2 linked regions of the Lepisosteus oculatus genome follow. The protein of the gene in region 2 interacts with the protein of the main gene of each other region in a biochemical or structural test. Links are inferred from orthologs where the notes say so. Each region holds a gene or a part of one and is shown on either strand. Other genes may lie near its edges.

Region 1 (8,288 bases), on a different chromosome or scaffold from region 2:
TGTCCTCTGCAACCATTCCAGGAGCTAGGGAGGACACTGCGGATGAATATAATCTGACCGCATTCCATGACTTCTCCCATTATAAAAGAACATAAGTCAGTTTCTTCCATTTCTACCTAAAGTTTGACCTAAATAGTTACACGATGATTTAAAGAGGATTTGAAACCAGGGGACAGCAGCACTCTAGGATAAGACACAGGAGCCACTCGATTTTGGAAAAGCATTCTTTATTGCTTTCCTTGAATACGAAAGGTACACGGGTCTAATGGAAAGAACGGTGTCGGCGGGAGAATTTCCCTCTCGCAGCGCTGGGGCCCTGGGTTCAGTTGCTGGGGTGCTATCTGCCCGGAGTTTGCATGTTCTCCCCGAGTTTATTGGGGTTTCCTCCGGATGCTCCGGTTTCCTCCCCCAGTCCAAAAATATCTTAATAGGTTAACTGGCTTCTGCTACTTTGGCCCCGGTGACACAGTGTGAGTGTGAGCATGCTCGGGCCTGTGTGTGCCCTGCGATGGACTGGTGTCCCATCCAGGGTGTACCCTGCCTTACGCCCAGTGCTCGCCGAGAAAGGCTCTGGCTCTCCAGCAGCACCGCGCCGATAGAAGAGGTTGGAAAACGGGTGGACAGAAAGTACTGCACAACTGCAAGGACAGCACACCGGCTGTTTTTGTTTCAGACGCACAGACCTGCAGTTGGGACGACATGAGGGCATGGAGGTTAGCGCTGGCTGCCGCATCACAGCTCTTGGATCCTGGCTTCGATTCTGAACCGAGGTACCGTTTGTGTGGTGTTTGCATGTCAGGCCACACAAATAAGGGGGGTTTCAGCTTCCTCCCACTCTCCAAGGACATGCTGGCTGCTTTAACTGCTATGCCTCCAGCAGGGTGTCTGCTTTCCCAGACAAGACCCAAGTCTTACATTGTAGATACAGGCTCAGCAGGAACAGCGGTGAAGAGGAGCACTGTAGGAGCCTGTGCCTCCCGCCTCACGTCACACACTCCAGTGAATGTGGGAGGAATGGCACGAGAAACTGTCTCCTGCAACTTCAAAACGAAGGACAAGGCTCAGAACGAGTTTCCTGTCCCATTTTTCCAGATAACTAGGCTATACTATGAGCCCAGCACATGATGAAAGGCAGTACATACTGTTATCTGCTACGCAAAGAAGGACAAAGTAGATCAGCGCAAAATATTTCTATAAAATCCCCCCACACACACACACTTATACCAGAACACCGTGTAGGAAGTACACTGGAAAAAAATGCGTGAAATGTTTAACCACGAGAACAGATGACTGCTGTGAAATGTTCTCCAAAACACTGGGTTTGACGGCGACGTACTTCCTGTCGGAGCTCGACAGAGAGACACCGCTGCAGTTCGGTACCAGCTGGTCTGAGGAGGGGGACTAATTGATCGATCAAAAGCTCATTAATAGTAGGGCGGTGGCTCCAGTTATTAACCACACACGTCGAAGTCACCAGAACAACCTGCCTCACCTTTGCAAACCTCGCGGCGCTGTAACGAGCGTGTCATGCCGGCGAGGTGTTTCAACATGTACATCAGATCACTCACCTCCAGATAACGACGGGATTTAGGAAGAAAGGCGCTTGGATTTGAAGACTGGAATAGGGTCTTAGACGGGATCTTGAAACGACCAGCAATATAAACAGAGTAGCGCCGTCTGTCTTGCTTATATAAATCTTTAAAAGAAGGCGAGTATACACTGAAATGCTCAAGTACCCAGTAGACCCAAGTTCGAGCATGAAGGTATCCCACAAGCACTTCTGCATTCAGTGTAAAACAAGGGAGCAACATTTTCTGAACCCTGCATCACGAAAAATCTGTCCAATTGACTCGCATCTTAAGCATTTACGATTCCCCCTTAAATGTAATTGATTCCCTCATTCCGTGAGCCCCGAGTTTCGTTGACGGATTGAGGCATGCCGCAGTCAAAAACACTTCAAAGAAGCTCGTCTCGCTACTTCATCTCTGTGCGCGCACACACACACAAAATAAAATAATCATAATAATAACCTCCGCGCTTTCCAGTTTTACGCGCACGACTTCGGTCCCAGCCGGTGAAGTCCGCGCACAAACCTTTTCCCACCCACCGCCGTGGCCTAAAGAGGTGAATCCCCGAGATCGTCTGCGATCACGTACCTTCCAGAGTCACCTCCTTGCCGGCCTTTTTCAGCGCCTGCACGGCCTGATCGTGCGTGGCTTCCCGCAGGTCGTTGCCGTTGACCGACAGGATGGCATCGCCGACCCGCAGCGCCCGGCTCTGGTCTGCGGCGAGCCCGGGGAAGATCTTGGAGATGAGAATGGGCATGCGGTTCTCCCGTCCCCCCTTGATGCTGATGCCGAGCCCGCCGGACTCCTGTTTCACCACTCGCACTCTCCGCACCGCCTCGGAGCCGGCACTTTCCAGGCCGGGGTGGGTATCGCCCAGCCTCAGGGGTCCGGTGCTGCTGAAGCTTGAGCCGGGGCTGCCGTAACTGGAGCCGGGGCTGCCCAGGTCGGAGCTGGTGCCGTTATCTTGAGCGATCCTGCCCGAGCCCGGGCTGCCGAAAGCGTAGCCCGTGTCGGTCTGAGCCCGACTGACCCCGCCGCCCGCCGGGCTCCCGGTGCGTCTCAGCGCGCCGTGGTTCGGGTGCTGGCTCTGCGTCCGGGTCGGACCGCCCGACTCGGTCCCGTTCGACAGCCCGTTCCACAGGCCCGGCGAGGGGCTGTAATCCGCACTGCCGCCCGGTCCGATGGGCTCGGCATCCGCTGTCAAAGTTAGGGTCTCACGGGTGAGTTCTGCCAGGACCCTAATCCAGCGGTCCCGGAGCAGAAGGTCCAGAAGTCCGTTCTTATCAGCTCTCGTCCAGACGGCCATCGTGGTCGTTTTTTAAACTACGCCCGTCATAGTTGTTCAACTTTTTCTTTCCCTTCTTTATCAGCGCCAAGTTACAAGCAAAACCCGTCACACCCACAAACCCATTGAGCAGAAAAGTGCGCTGGAAGTCGAGTTGACTCGCGAAAGAAAATAAGAGGTTAGACCGACTTTTTTATTTATTCATGAAGGAAAGCCGAGGAGAGGAGAAGGGTGGTGGGGATAAAAACTTTACAACGGGGCAGGGTGAGACGGCGGCCAATCGTGGAAACGGGGCTGTTTATTATTCATAAGGAGGAAGGGCCTCTCCTGTCAAAAAATACCTGCTCCTGAACTACACGTGTCCGGCTGCGGGTCGCCGCATGTGGGCGGGGGGGCTCCGGGCCCTGACCCCGACCAGCCAGCCGAAAACCATCCAGACGCGGCCGGGGACCGGCGGCTAACGCGATGTGTCGCAATTACACACACAACTGGCGTGCTGTCGATCAATGAAGCAAGTAATGCGCTCCATTAAGGAGACCTCTAGCACTCGAGGGCTTCCAAGTGTTTTCTCAATGACTGACTTTTACTTGGGATGGCGTTGTTAGTTTTGGCCATCACACGGCACCACAAAAACAACAACAACAACAACAACAACAACAACAACAACAAAAAAGCTGTGGAAAGAGTTCAAGAAGAGAGCACCCCTTGCCTCAGGTGTTTATCAGATAGGGACAGTTTAAGGGCGCTAAGTCATTTCCATCTCGATCAAAACTGAGTTGAAAGGATAGAGATTTGAAGGTGTAAGGCTGAAGGTGGTTTCACACTGGGTAGCACAACCACGACACACAACCAGTGCCACAACCAGGGAGGGGAATTTATTTGGTACGGAGAATAGGAAATAATTCTTTACTCAAGACGGGCCTTCTCTCGCTTGCATCATTTTTGAAATAGTATTTCCATAAAGTAAAAAATAACAATAGCAAATCTCTCTCACGTGATCACAGTTACTACAGTATAACTTTGGTGATAGTTTTAGATGAGTGGTCAGCAATCTGGACCTGCGACCAGGCTTGATCGAGTCTCTTGCCTTGAAATTGTACAGTAAGTGCAGACTTTACTTCAAGTGACATATACAGTACACTGCATTGTCAAGTCTTGACTGTGTAGTCTCGGCGAAGTCCCACAGTCACTTAATATTGATCCAGAAGATCTGTCGTTGACTCTTGAAGCGCATTTAAAAACAGAGCGCAGCAAATGTTGTTCAAGTTTGTGGGTCGCTATTGCCACCTAGTGGCATAAAAATGCACAACATCTGATCGTGCTTGGCAGAATTATGGTAGACTTGACAAATTACCCTGACCCTCAGGAACACTCCAGTCTTCAAAAAGCCCAGCGTGTTCCTTCATGCTGTGGGAACTGAAACGGAATTTAAAACACTTTTGCAGCCATTCATCCAAGAGTTTGAGAGTTATTTAAAGTAAAAAGGATATTTTTTTAGAAAATAGTTTCTAGCTCTCTATTTAATAGCTATCTCATTGTGTTTTGTTAACACCATTGTGTATAAAGAAGTAAAATGATGATGGTGGTTGCTCTTACTGTCATTATTATTCATTAGATTGATAACTGTGTGGATAAGCCTACAGCAGAGCTCACTGAAGAGTTGCACAGCATGCTGTGTGAATGTCTTGTCAATGTCTTGTCTGATGCAAGCTTTTGCTCAGTTGAACAAAGCTCTTTTCCAGGTTTTATGTACTGTATTCAATGAAGTGATATACACTAAGGTGCCACACCCAGAAACATTCAGTGACCTTGGAAGAAGTATGAACGTTTGACAGAACAAACAAAAAATATAACTGCTGTAGTGAAGATCTTGAAGGCAGTTTGTGCTTCTACCATGCAATTGGTGATCGTGAACATTGTGTTAGATTAGCACCTTGATTTATGTGGAAAAATATATTTTAATCATGCACCTACTAGCATAGCTTCGGGAATGCTCAGCCGAGGACTAAATTGAATGTTCAAGGGAGAACACGGATTTTGCAAATGGATTTTTTATAATGTTTTTTATTAAACGAGTTGCAACTTTATTTGTAGCAGAATAACTTTATGGGACCTCATACAAATGCAAATACCTGCTGACAATGATTAAATACTATACTGCTTTTAGGGTAATTCTTACTCTCCTGTTTCAAAATTATTCTCTTTAGTTTTATTTCCAGTACATGCAAAAATGTAGGAAATGCATTAAATTCTTGTACTTGCTTGAATCAAGGGTCTCTTTCGGACAGATTTTATATTTTTACAATTGCATTGACTCGGTATAGCTGGGATTCAGACCCGCGTGTGTCTCATGTCAACAAGACTCACTCGTGATATCAGCTAAAGGATCCTGAAGCTCTGGACCTGACTCAAGACTCTTGGGAAACATCTGAGTTAAGCTGAGCAATTCTGACTTGACTACAGGTCTCCATGATGGTATATTGTTTGATCAAAAGTAACATGGATTGTAAATGGTCACAACGCAGATGCCAGGCCATGTAGATTTATTGCAGCTTAATTTTATTAAGTGTTTACAGGGTTCTGACATGAAAAAAGGCTTTGCACCATCATGTCTTTAAACTGGCCGGTGAAAGCAAAATACTGCCAACGTGGAAGCTTTCTAAATTAGTGCAGCTATCATTTTGCTCAATATCCTTCCTTGCAGAGGAAAATACCTAGATAAAACGTAACCGGTTCAGGTCACATCCACTCAGGATAGAAAGAAGAAAAATCTCCAAATAAGTTGGAAAAGCAAAATTTTAAAAAGCAAAAAAAGGATTGTGATAGAGTACACCAGTCAATAAAAATATGATTCTGACATTCAAATTCTGAGGTCTGAATGAAATTGATTTTGTTTTGTACACTGGACATTGCGTTCTGAACCACAAATTAAAAAAAAAGAAAAAATAAATTTTCCCCCAACAGAGACTGAATTATGATACAGATGTTTTCACCATGGGATTTCAGAAGCACCTGGATGACAATACTCATACGAAGCAGAAGAGCTTTCCCGAGATGATTTCTAAAGTTCTCTAAAGTTTCTAAAGTTTCACTTTTGCACAGGTCCTGCACAGCCGGGCGGCGTGAACTCTCAGCTCTCTGCAGCGGGACGACAGAGACAGCCCCGACACCCCTTGTGGCTTCTATTAATGTCAACCACCTCTGTGTTTGATGCTCTTGTTGAAACAGGTGGCGCAAGACACAGAGCAGGTCTGCTCGCAGACTCTCATTTGGATACCGACGATGTGGCAAGCTGTGTTTTTCCACGTGGAGTTTTCGATGTCCAAAATAAAGAAGAACAACTGTGAGGCAATGACCTCCACGGATTTTAGGGTCACATTCCCTTGCTCCTCATTTCTTCTCTCTTTGGCCCCGCTTTTAGGGTGACAAACCTTCACCCTTCCTCTTAACCAGTGCTCACATCGCAAAAGCAGCACTTACAGTACGTCTTGGGGAAGGCAGACTCCAACACATCCCAACGGGTCAAGTGCTAATTCCCCTTGGGGGGGCTTATTTTGCGCGTGCTGGGTCAAGTCTCTCTAAAACGTATTCCGATGACGTTTTGAAAAAGAGGTTATAATAGGCGACTGGAGCAAATGAATCACAACTTCAGGCAGAGAACAGCCGCAAACGTGAGGCGTTTGTCGTGGGAACCAGAAGACATTCACGCGCGGCGGTAACTCGTACCATGCCAGAAGAGGAACATCGAGGTTTATTTCAACACACAAATGGCGCTATGTTTTTCTTTCAGGGAGGGCGTATGGCGTGAAAGGCAAGCACTTTATTGGAACTTGGCACCTCTCCCAGGGCCCACCCTGACGGCCTGGGCTCTCTTGGGAGTGTTGTTCAGGATGTCCAAGCTCTTCCGGCTGGAGGTGATGACGTCGCCCACGAACTTGGCGCACTCAGAGCAGATGTCCTTCAGGCTGCAGCCGTTGGCGTAGAGGTGGGGGAACTCCTCTTCCACCGAGCGGCTCGTCAGGCTCCGCAGGGACCTAAAGAAAGAGCAGGGAAGGAGCGCTGTGAGGAGCGTCGCTGTCGAGCGTCCTCATGAGAGAAAGACAACCTGTCTGGAGATACCTTTCAGGATCATGGCGACTGCAGGCGTACGATTTGCCATGAATTCTAGGTAGGAATATTAATAATCTCTTGGTGTTTCCCAAAGCCGGGAAGCGGAAAGTTGGTTTTTCGGATCATATTAATATTTTGATATTCTAATAATATGAATGTTCATTCCCTATTGCAGTTGTCCTAGACGTAGTGGCAAGAGGGACAGGAGCCAGGGCTCGCCAGGTAACTTACTGAAAGACCTCTCCCTTCCTGGGGTGGCTGACTGTGCCACTCTCAAAGCCCACGGTGTAGACCGGAATGTGGGCCAGCTTCTTGGAGGGGATCTTCATCTGCACAACAAAGAAGACCACACTGACACCACCACTCACTGCAGCCTCGCAGAGGCACTAGTTAAAACAGTGGGAAGCACCTCCGCACAGGTTAGGTTATAGTCTCCCACTTTCAACTGCACAGCAACGCGTGTGATGGGGAATCAAGCACGCAGATTATAAAATTCAGATACAAGCGTTCATTGCGCAGGGGCTCCCGAGGGCTCTCGATCAGTTAGATTGTGCTCCCAGTACAGGTTAAAGATACATCCCGTCCATCACAAGTTCAAGTCTGGGTCATGTGACTGGTCAGCGGAGAAAGGATTTCCCATGGAGCACTGCACAGTAGACTCTTCTGGCGAAAGACTGGCCCCTGTGACTTCCCCGTCACCTGCAGCCTTGGAGAGTGATGTCAGCGAGGGACATCCTGCTCCTCCAATCAGAGGTTCAGGAGGCCAGTGGGTGGGCGGGTTAGAGGAGATGACCACACCAGGAATGTTTCATGTTTAAGGATAATTTACATGAATGATTTGGCGTAATGTACTTACATTATGCATATATTATACAAAATGCAATGCAATACTACATATTGGTCTACATTACCACTACCCACTACATTGGTCCCAAGTTGCTTTGTGGGAAACATAAGAATAATAACAAACAATAGGAAGACATTCAGCCATCTAGCCCATTTGGTTTTAATAGTTAATTGATCTTAGGAGCTCATCCAGTTGTTTCCTGAAAGAGGCTAGGGTGTTGGCTTCAACAACATGGCAGGGCAGCTTGTTCCATACCCCCACAACCCTCTGGATAAAGCAGTGCCTCCTGTTCTCAGTCTTAAATGCACTTCCATGTCGTTTCCAGTTGTGTCCTCTGGTTCTTGTTTCAGTGTTTGTTCGGACAGTTCAATGTCCTAAGTCTTCTGGGTTGACTTTGTCACAGTTTGCCCTTTGTGATTTTGAATAGTTGTAGTTGTAATTGATTGGCACCACCTTATTGCCTTATTATTGTTGATCT
Region 2 (7,227 bases):
AGGTCTCCAGCCTTGTTTTTTTCAGTGACTTTCAAATACAGAAAAATACTGCAGAGTGAGAGTTGTTAAAACCTTTCTTAACCCTCTAAACTACATTTGCAGATTGAAAGATTAGTTTTGATTTCATACCATATGGCATCTTTGGGAACCCTGGCTGGAATTTGTCTGTAGATGAAAAGAATGTAAACATTTTGTAAGATCAACTTTCAGTTTCCAGCCTTGCCTTGGATATAGGCTTATTTGTCTTTTTTTCTGTATTCCTGCTTACCTAAAGAAGATGGAAATCTTTCTGTCACAGATGTGGATACTAGATTATAATAGACCTTTGGGCTGTTTTCAAATCACTTGGGCATTTGGATAGGTAAGCAGGTGTAAGTTTTAGAGTAAATAGACCTGTATGTTTTGCAGTGCAACTAAAGAAACTAGCTGAGTATTTACCTGGTCAAGTGCTGAATTGAGAGGGACCTTAGGTAGGTCAGATTAAATAAACCAACCATTGAATTTACTAAGACAGCACGGTTAACACTCCTACTCTTTTAAACAGTACCGTAAGATTAACAATCAAGATCCTAAGACCTCAGTTTAATATCATCCAAAGGAGAGTGTCCTCAGTCACCATCCTGGGGTATTTGTTTTTTTGGAAATTAGGAATAATCCTAAAGTATGAGTGTCACCTACTGTTCTCCTGACACCATTTAATGTTGGCAATCTGGGTTTTCCTTTTGACATCTCAAATCCCTGTACTGACGAAGTCCAGCCTTGCTAACTGTACTGTCCGGGATCTGGCGATCAGATATTACAAGCAGTTAATAAACTGTGTTCATTTCGTTTTGATGATGAACAGCAACCTCTCTGAGCTCTGGAAGTAATGCAAAACTAAAACACAGCCACCAAGAAGAAACGTCATTTTTCATTCTAAATTCACAAAAGATTCCTATTTTCAAGTACGCTGTTACTGACTGTAGGAATGACTACTGAAGCCACCAAATGTTATTTACAATCTTGGCAAGAAGAAATAAATGGTCCAAACCCAGAGCCCGTTTCACTTTTGAATGTTTAAAAAAGATAACGCAGCCAGTCCCTTTCGTAAGACGTGCTTTCCTTTGCAAATGAATTTAAACCACTTGCACAGCTCACACCTGATTCTGCTTTTCAGCCGGCGACCAGGTGAGAAGAAAGCTCTTCGATTTCACCGATGCTCTCTCCCACAACTGCCACATCAAATGTTCTTGCTGCAAACTCATTTGCGTTTGTCACTGTAGTGTGTTAAAAGTGCCTTCCGACAGGTGCTGAGGGAGGCAGCCTGAACATTCTTCTGTTTCTGCCCAAGAGCTGGATGATAATTAGCATGTGAAGATGCACCTTTTTAAGGTGGTGCAATTTATCCTGTTCATTCACCTGCCTCAGATTTGGAGCTGCCAATTCTCCAACCTCCCTGCCTGCACAGGAAAAGAAACAGCCTTGTCCTATTCACACTGTGAGCCCCAAGCACCGCTGACACAGCTAGGGCCTCAGACGGAGGGCAGCTGTAGCTCTTGATAATAATGCTGCTGGCGCATAGGGGCTTGGTGAACCCTGGGTAATTCTTGGCAAATAACAGAGCCCAGACTCACACCTGTGTTTCCCACTTTCCCAAATTGTTGGGTCCAGTTGGACAAATGTGACCTACTGTAGTGTTGTCTTAAAAGTGCTTGTTTGACATCTGTCTATGGATGTTGTGAGCCTAATTATCTGGCTTTTATGTTTGTGAAAATGATAACTCTGAGGCAGAACGTGAGTTTGTTAGCTGCTTGGTGTCAACATTTGTAAAACCTCTTTATCTACACTAGGGAACTTTTGTGAAATATGTTGATTCTGTCTCTCGGGGAAAGGTTTGCTTGTAAAGGAGCCGAAGAGGCAGCAAAGGCTTTGCAGGGAAAAACAATTGTTGTGACAGATTTCCATGGGGGTGGGGATGTTAACAAGCACATTTTTCAGCTTGGGAAATCACAGGTGAAAATGGATTCTTTCTCTGTGTGCTTTTGTGCAATCTAAAGAGTGATTGCCTTTCCTCTGGTGTGAAATTCAATTCTCCGAACCAGCTATGAGAGGATGATAATTGGTTTTAAAGACATTGAAACCAGGTACAGTACAGTGTGCTATGCATGGAAGGTCATCTCTTGCTCGGGACAGATTTGGCTTTTTCGTATCTCCACCCACCAGAGACAAGGCCACAGTCAAGCCCTTTAATTCACACAGTGAACAAAGAAAAAGAAACATTTCAGAATTCTGTGTACATATGCAATATGAGTGTGTGAATGTGAATATTTGCATGTATGTACAGTATACTGTAAACTGTGTTTTATTCTCTGGGGTAGGAACCTGTGAGGCGTACAGATTTGGAACATGAATTGGAGAGTCATCATCCTGGGTTAAGATGCTAGTTGAACTCTATTTCCCAAGAGAGCTTGCAGAGTAAGATGCCCTATAGAAAATTCTCGAGGGTTGAGGCACATGTGAAACCCATTGTGACGGCCTCAGAGTATTAGAGGATGAAGCTGTGTCTTTCATCTGTGCTGGGTGGGGAAGATCTGTTGGTAGGTAGGAGTCAGGTTTTTGAGCAAGAGTAAACCCTACGGAACTGAAACCGGCAACGAAGAGACTTCATTCTCTGGGAGAGATTTTGTTACGTCAGATGGTCTGTTTTGCTCTTTCCACCTTGCGTGAACTTTCTGCTCTAGAGGATGAGCCTGGCTGTGATTATCAACATCCTTGCCTGTGTCAGTAGGGTACATAATATATCATAGATAATAAGTAATTATTTAATTAGCCATGTCTGTTTCACAATGCCAGGAAGTAGAACTGCTTAAAGAGGCTGCTGTAAATTGGCACTTGTTGAGCATTGTGAAACAACTGGGACTAATTAATATTCATATATCCCAAATTCATAACAACTACAGCTTGCTCTTTATCAAAACAGTATTTATCAAAAACATAACCTGCAAATATGTTTTTCAAAGAACATAAGAGAAGAGAGGTTTTAGAGATTGCATTTTTAAATTCACTATCTACAGATTTTTTTAAATTAAAATTGAAAGGTTTGTATTTTGTAGACATTTAATGAGTGCTTCATTTTAGTCTCTAAATCACTCCATGGGGATGTTACAGAATACAAAAAATCTTCTTCAGTGACAGAAACATGGGTTAGGTAACAGTAAATGACATTTCAGTTTCATCTGTGCTTTGTTAAAGGACAATATCTAAAAGGGATCATAAAACATATTAATTGGCACTTTGTTTCAGATCTCAAACAAGTGCAAGCTTGTTTTATTTTGTTTTCCTTTAAAAATTGTGATGTTTATCTTTAGCTCTATCTAAGAGTATTGTAAGCTATTGATTTAGAACTTAAATAGTCACACACTGCTGTGTTCTTACTATCTCTTGATGTGTGGCCATTAAGATCTATTTGTTAAAATAATGTTGAGATTTCTGTGCCGTATTGATTTATCAATTTCCTTGTGACTGTTGTGAGAGATGCAGATCTATTTGGATTCTAGGTCACTGACTAGACCATAACTGGGTAAACTTTGAGTCTTGATGCATGTTTTTTTCCTTTTCACCAGTGCTTTTGACAGGGTAAAAGTTTGCTTTTGCAGAAGTAACTGAAAGGACTGGTTTACTTGCAGTTGGGGTGCATCTGTTTGTGTGTGTTTGTGTACGTGCTAGTGTCAGGTCACTTATGTGCATGGTTGCTGTAGAAACCAAGGACAGAGTTAATCTGTTGGCTGGATTTGCTGTGCAGATTGAGCCAGCGAGTGACTGTGTGTGTGCATGTGTGCACGCGCACGCGCGCACACTCAACAGCATATAGAGGAAGTGCACTCTGTTACCAGCTCAAGAGTTATTTTAATGCAAGCACTCACATCGTCTCTCTCTCCCACTCCCCCCTACTACGTTTTTCTCTCTGGCTTTTCCACTCCAGCAAGTCTGTTACAGTAGGCCAGCCGTCTCCTATCTCCTTCCAAGAGATTGATCTATACTTTTTAATTCTTTAAATCACTTGGAGTTTACAGGACAAAAGAAAGGTTGGATGATAAACACTCTCTCTCCTCAGAGACCAGGTTGTATGAATATTTTTTACTATTGAGTCTTGTAAAATCGTTGTTTTAAATTGGTCTGGGAATGCATTACTGTCTTAGTTTTTGAAGCCGCAGAACTTATTTCTTTAGAGGTCTCTAATATTTACACTGATACTGTACGTGGCTGTACACTGAATATAGTGACTACCACAAAGATTTAAAATTCTGCAGTGGGACTGATTTAATTTAAATTGTTTTTTTTTTTTTAGAAATGCTTTTGCATCAAGGTACAAAAATATAAAACCAGGTTTGTTTTTATAGTGCAAGCAATAGTGTACTTCTGTGTTTCTGGGATGGTTTTTAGCAGTTCCTCTGTTAATGAAGATGAGTGTCATTGTGCTTAAAGATCCATTTTAAAGCAAATGGCGAAACGCTTGACATGTAGTGCGTTTAGAGCTACTCCTTTGGGGAATTTGGAATTTTACGGTTTGACTTTGTGAAGTATGAAACTGTCATGTTCCACATAGGGTGATGCATTTTTGTTTCCACTTTGATTCTTAAAAAGCCAGGTCCACTTTATCGAATAAGTTTTATTCAAAACAAAGGCCAGTTTTTCTAAGACATCAATCAATGATGTACAGATCTCAGGAATCAGTGTATATTATCTCAAGCGATGTCTATTTGTATCCTTTTGTGTAGCTTTATTGGGACAACTGAGCTGAAGAACCTTGTTCAGGAGAACGACAGGAGTGTCGCTCCTGAGATTCAAACCCACAACCTTACAGTCTCACAACCACTGCTCCCAAAATCAATTTATTATCAAGCTGCAGAGTTCAAGTAATTTCTAACTAATTAATGTAAACTACTAGGTACTGTGTTCAAGTTGTTGAAGATGAAAATCGATACAATTTCAAAACCCCAAAGAAAGCAAATAGTTTGAAATGTTTTTGTGCAATTGTTGTGTGAAGTAATTGTACAAATTTGAAAAGAAAAACCTAAAAACACTGATTCTTTAGTGCTGCTTTAATTCCTTGCAGATGATAATGTTGTGTTTACAGTGTAGAGGATTAGAGATGGGGAGAAAATACTGCAGAGGCCTTTTGTGTGTTTTTTCTTTTCAAACTGGTCCCAATGAAGCTCTAGCAAGAGGGAGAGAAATGCATTCTTCTATTTTTTAGGGCAGGGCAGTGGTTTAGCCTATCAATTTAATAATTTCAAAAAAAGTTCTTTTTTCAGTGCCTGAAAAAATACTTACTGAAATGCTGGTCAGAGAACTGACCTGTGTTTTTTATCCTTGTGTGAGATGGTCACAGTGCATTCTCAAGTAATTAACAGACATCAATTGCTAGGTGTAAAATGTATTCCTTTGTGGTTTATTTTCTTAAGACATAATCATTGTGTCGTAATATGCTTCTTGGTAATTAAAGAAAACTACTTCTGGAAACAGTAGTTTGAGTAGGTTCTGGAAATACTAGTTCTAGAAACACTTTTTACAAAAGAAATAATACTTCCATATGCATTTCATGCATTTTCATGCATTTCATTATGTGTAACTGGCAAATACATTTACTGGTACAGTAGTACAGTATGTATAAAAATAAAGGCTTGAGTAGTTTTTCTGTTGGAGTGTATACCTAAAGTCTCATTTTATGTATAATATAGCTGTAATAAGTTTGTGGTGTCTCACATCTTTTTGGAAAGGAAACCAGGGCAATAGTGAGTTATTCCAGAATATTTTAATGTTGAATTAATAATTTGCACAGGATTACTATACCATGAAATCCCCCAAATATTCAATACTGAGTTGGATAGATATTTATTTTTTACATTTATTGAATAAATGAATAAATGAGAATCATCTGCATATACAGTAAGCTTTGAACCTAAAGTAAGTTTCCTTCACAATGCTAGAGTACAATGCTAAAAGGTTTTCTTTCAAAAATAAAGATTAGAGGTGTGATCAGATAATGCTATGGTTCATCTGGTAAGAAGCGATCTGTTGCTCAGTTATTACGATCGGTTTTCCAAGACCATTTTTAGTACAAAATGCACCCTTCACTGACAGACGTTATGATAATAAAATAACCACAAGTAGTTTGAATAATATAATGTTTAAAATGAAAATGTTTACACGTTTCCCAAGAGTTGTTGTCTGTGATGGCTGACTGGGTTGCAGACTCTTGGTTGTGCTCATTCTGCATTAAATCATGAACTGTGGGCCCTGAAATGTATTGGAAAGTTTTATTTGGTAGGAGAGTTATGCTCTTGGTTTTCCTAGATAATTCTAAGATCAAAGCTTTGTGCTCAGCTTTGTTCCTTTGTATTGTGACCAGCTTTAAGGTTAATCAGGTTTTTTAGTTCCCATTAGTACGGGGAGTGTCTTACTACCACCTCCTCAGAAAACCTTAAGAGAAGTGGAAAGCATTGTAAGATGTGCACAGAATAAAATATAATAGTGGTAAGGGAAACTTTTTGGTTTGTGGCGTTGAACAGATCTTGTCGGGGAAAAATCAAAGGACGAAATTTGGCAGACACATTTAAAAGAAAAAGGAATGCTTATCTACAGTATGTTCTCCAGATATTTTCCAAGTATTACAAAATATTAACAAACCTTTTGTGGTCTTGTATAGCCCATGATTGGTTCCATTTTGGCAAACGGAGAAGGTTTGTCTAAGAGCAAGAGATCGTTGCAGTTTCCGTTTTTCTGTTCCAGTTCCACCCCACACCAAGTTTATAGAGCTTTGCTAATGATTAAACCCGAGATCTTCCTGCTGACAACTTTTTGTGCACCCGGACTGAATTTATTTCCGAAAAAGAAATTGTTTGCGCACTGCAGAAGGAGGAGAGTTACTCTTTCAAAATGCATCCGTCTCCGTTGCTGTTCACTCATTCTGCCTTGGAAGACGGAGGTTTGTGTTCTTCAGGAGAATTTCCCTGTGTTCATAACCCAGATCTTCATACAGTAGTTCTCAAGGTAGGTTTTAGTTGAATGCCCTTTCTGCGGACATGCAAAGCCCACAGCATCCAAATACAATGCACTGCTCTTCTCTGACAAATGAACCCTTTTTTCTGCCTATCATTAGAAAGTTGTGAATATTAATAATTAATGCAATTGTATAATGCCTTTCTTCCGAAAGGATCCCAGTGTGAACACGGGAGGGAACCCACT

What was found.
Region 1: the proteins of dgkza (region 2) and sntb2 form a complex in vitro, tested with the Homo sapiens proteins (2 studies listed by BioGRID and IntAct, with this or other methods). The link is inferred for Lepisosteus oculatus from reciprocal best matches to the Homo sapiens genes DGKZ and SNTB2.

What each region holds. Positions count from the first base shown.
Region 1 is NC_090715.1:12,723,027-12,731,314, reverse strand, and holds the start of sntb2 (beta-2-syntrophin), read right to left. Parts: upstream 3,096-8,288; 5' UTR 2,875-3,095; coding exon 2,157-2,874; intron 1-2,156. Other genes in the region: spire2 (protein spire homolog 2), read right to left, coding at 6,674-6,887, 7,195-7,292. UniProt on the Homo sapiens protein: Adapter protein that binds to and probably organizes the subcellular localization of a variety of membrane proteins. May link various receptors to the actin cytoskeleton and the dystrophin glycoprotein complex.
Region 2 is NC_090716.1:4,643,788-4,651,014, forward strand, and holds the start of dgkza (diacylglycerol kinase zeta), read left to right. Parts: upstream 1-3,877; 5' UTR 3,878-4,100; intron 4,101-7,227. UniProt on the Homo sapiens protein: Diacylglycerol kinase that converts diacylglycerol/DAG into phosphatidic acid/phosphatidate/PA and regulates the respective levels of these two bioactive lipids.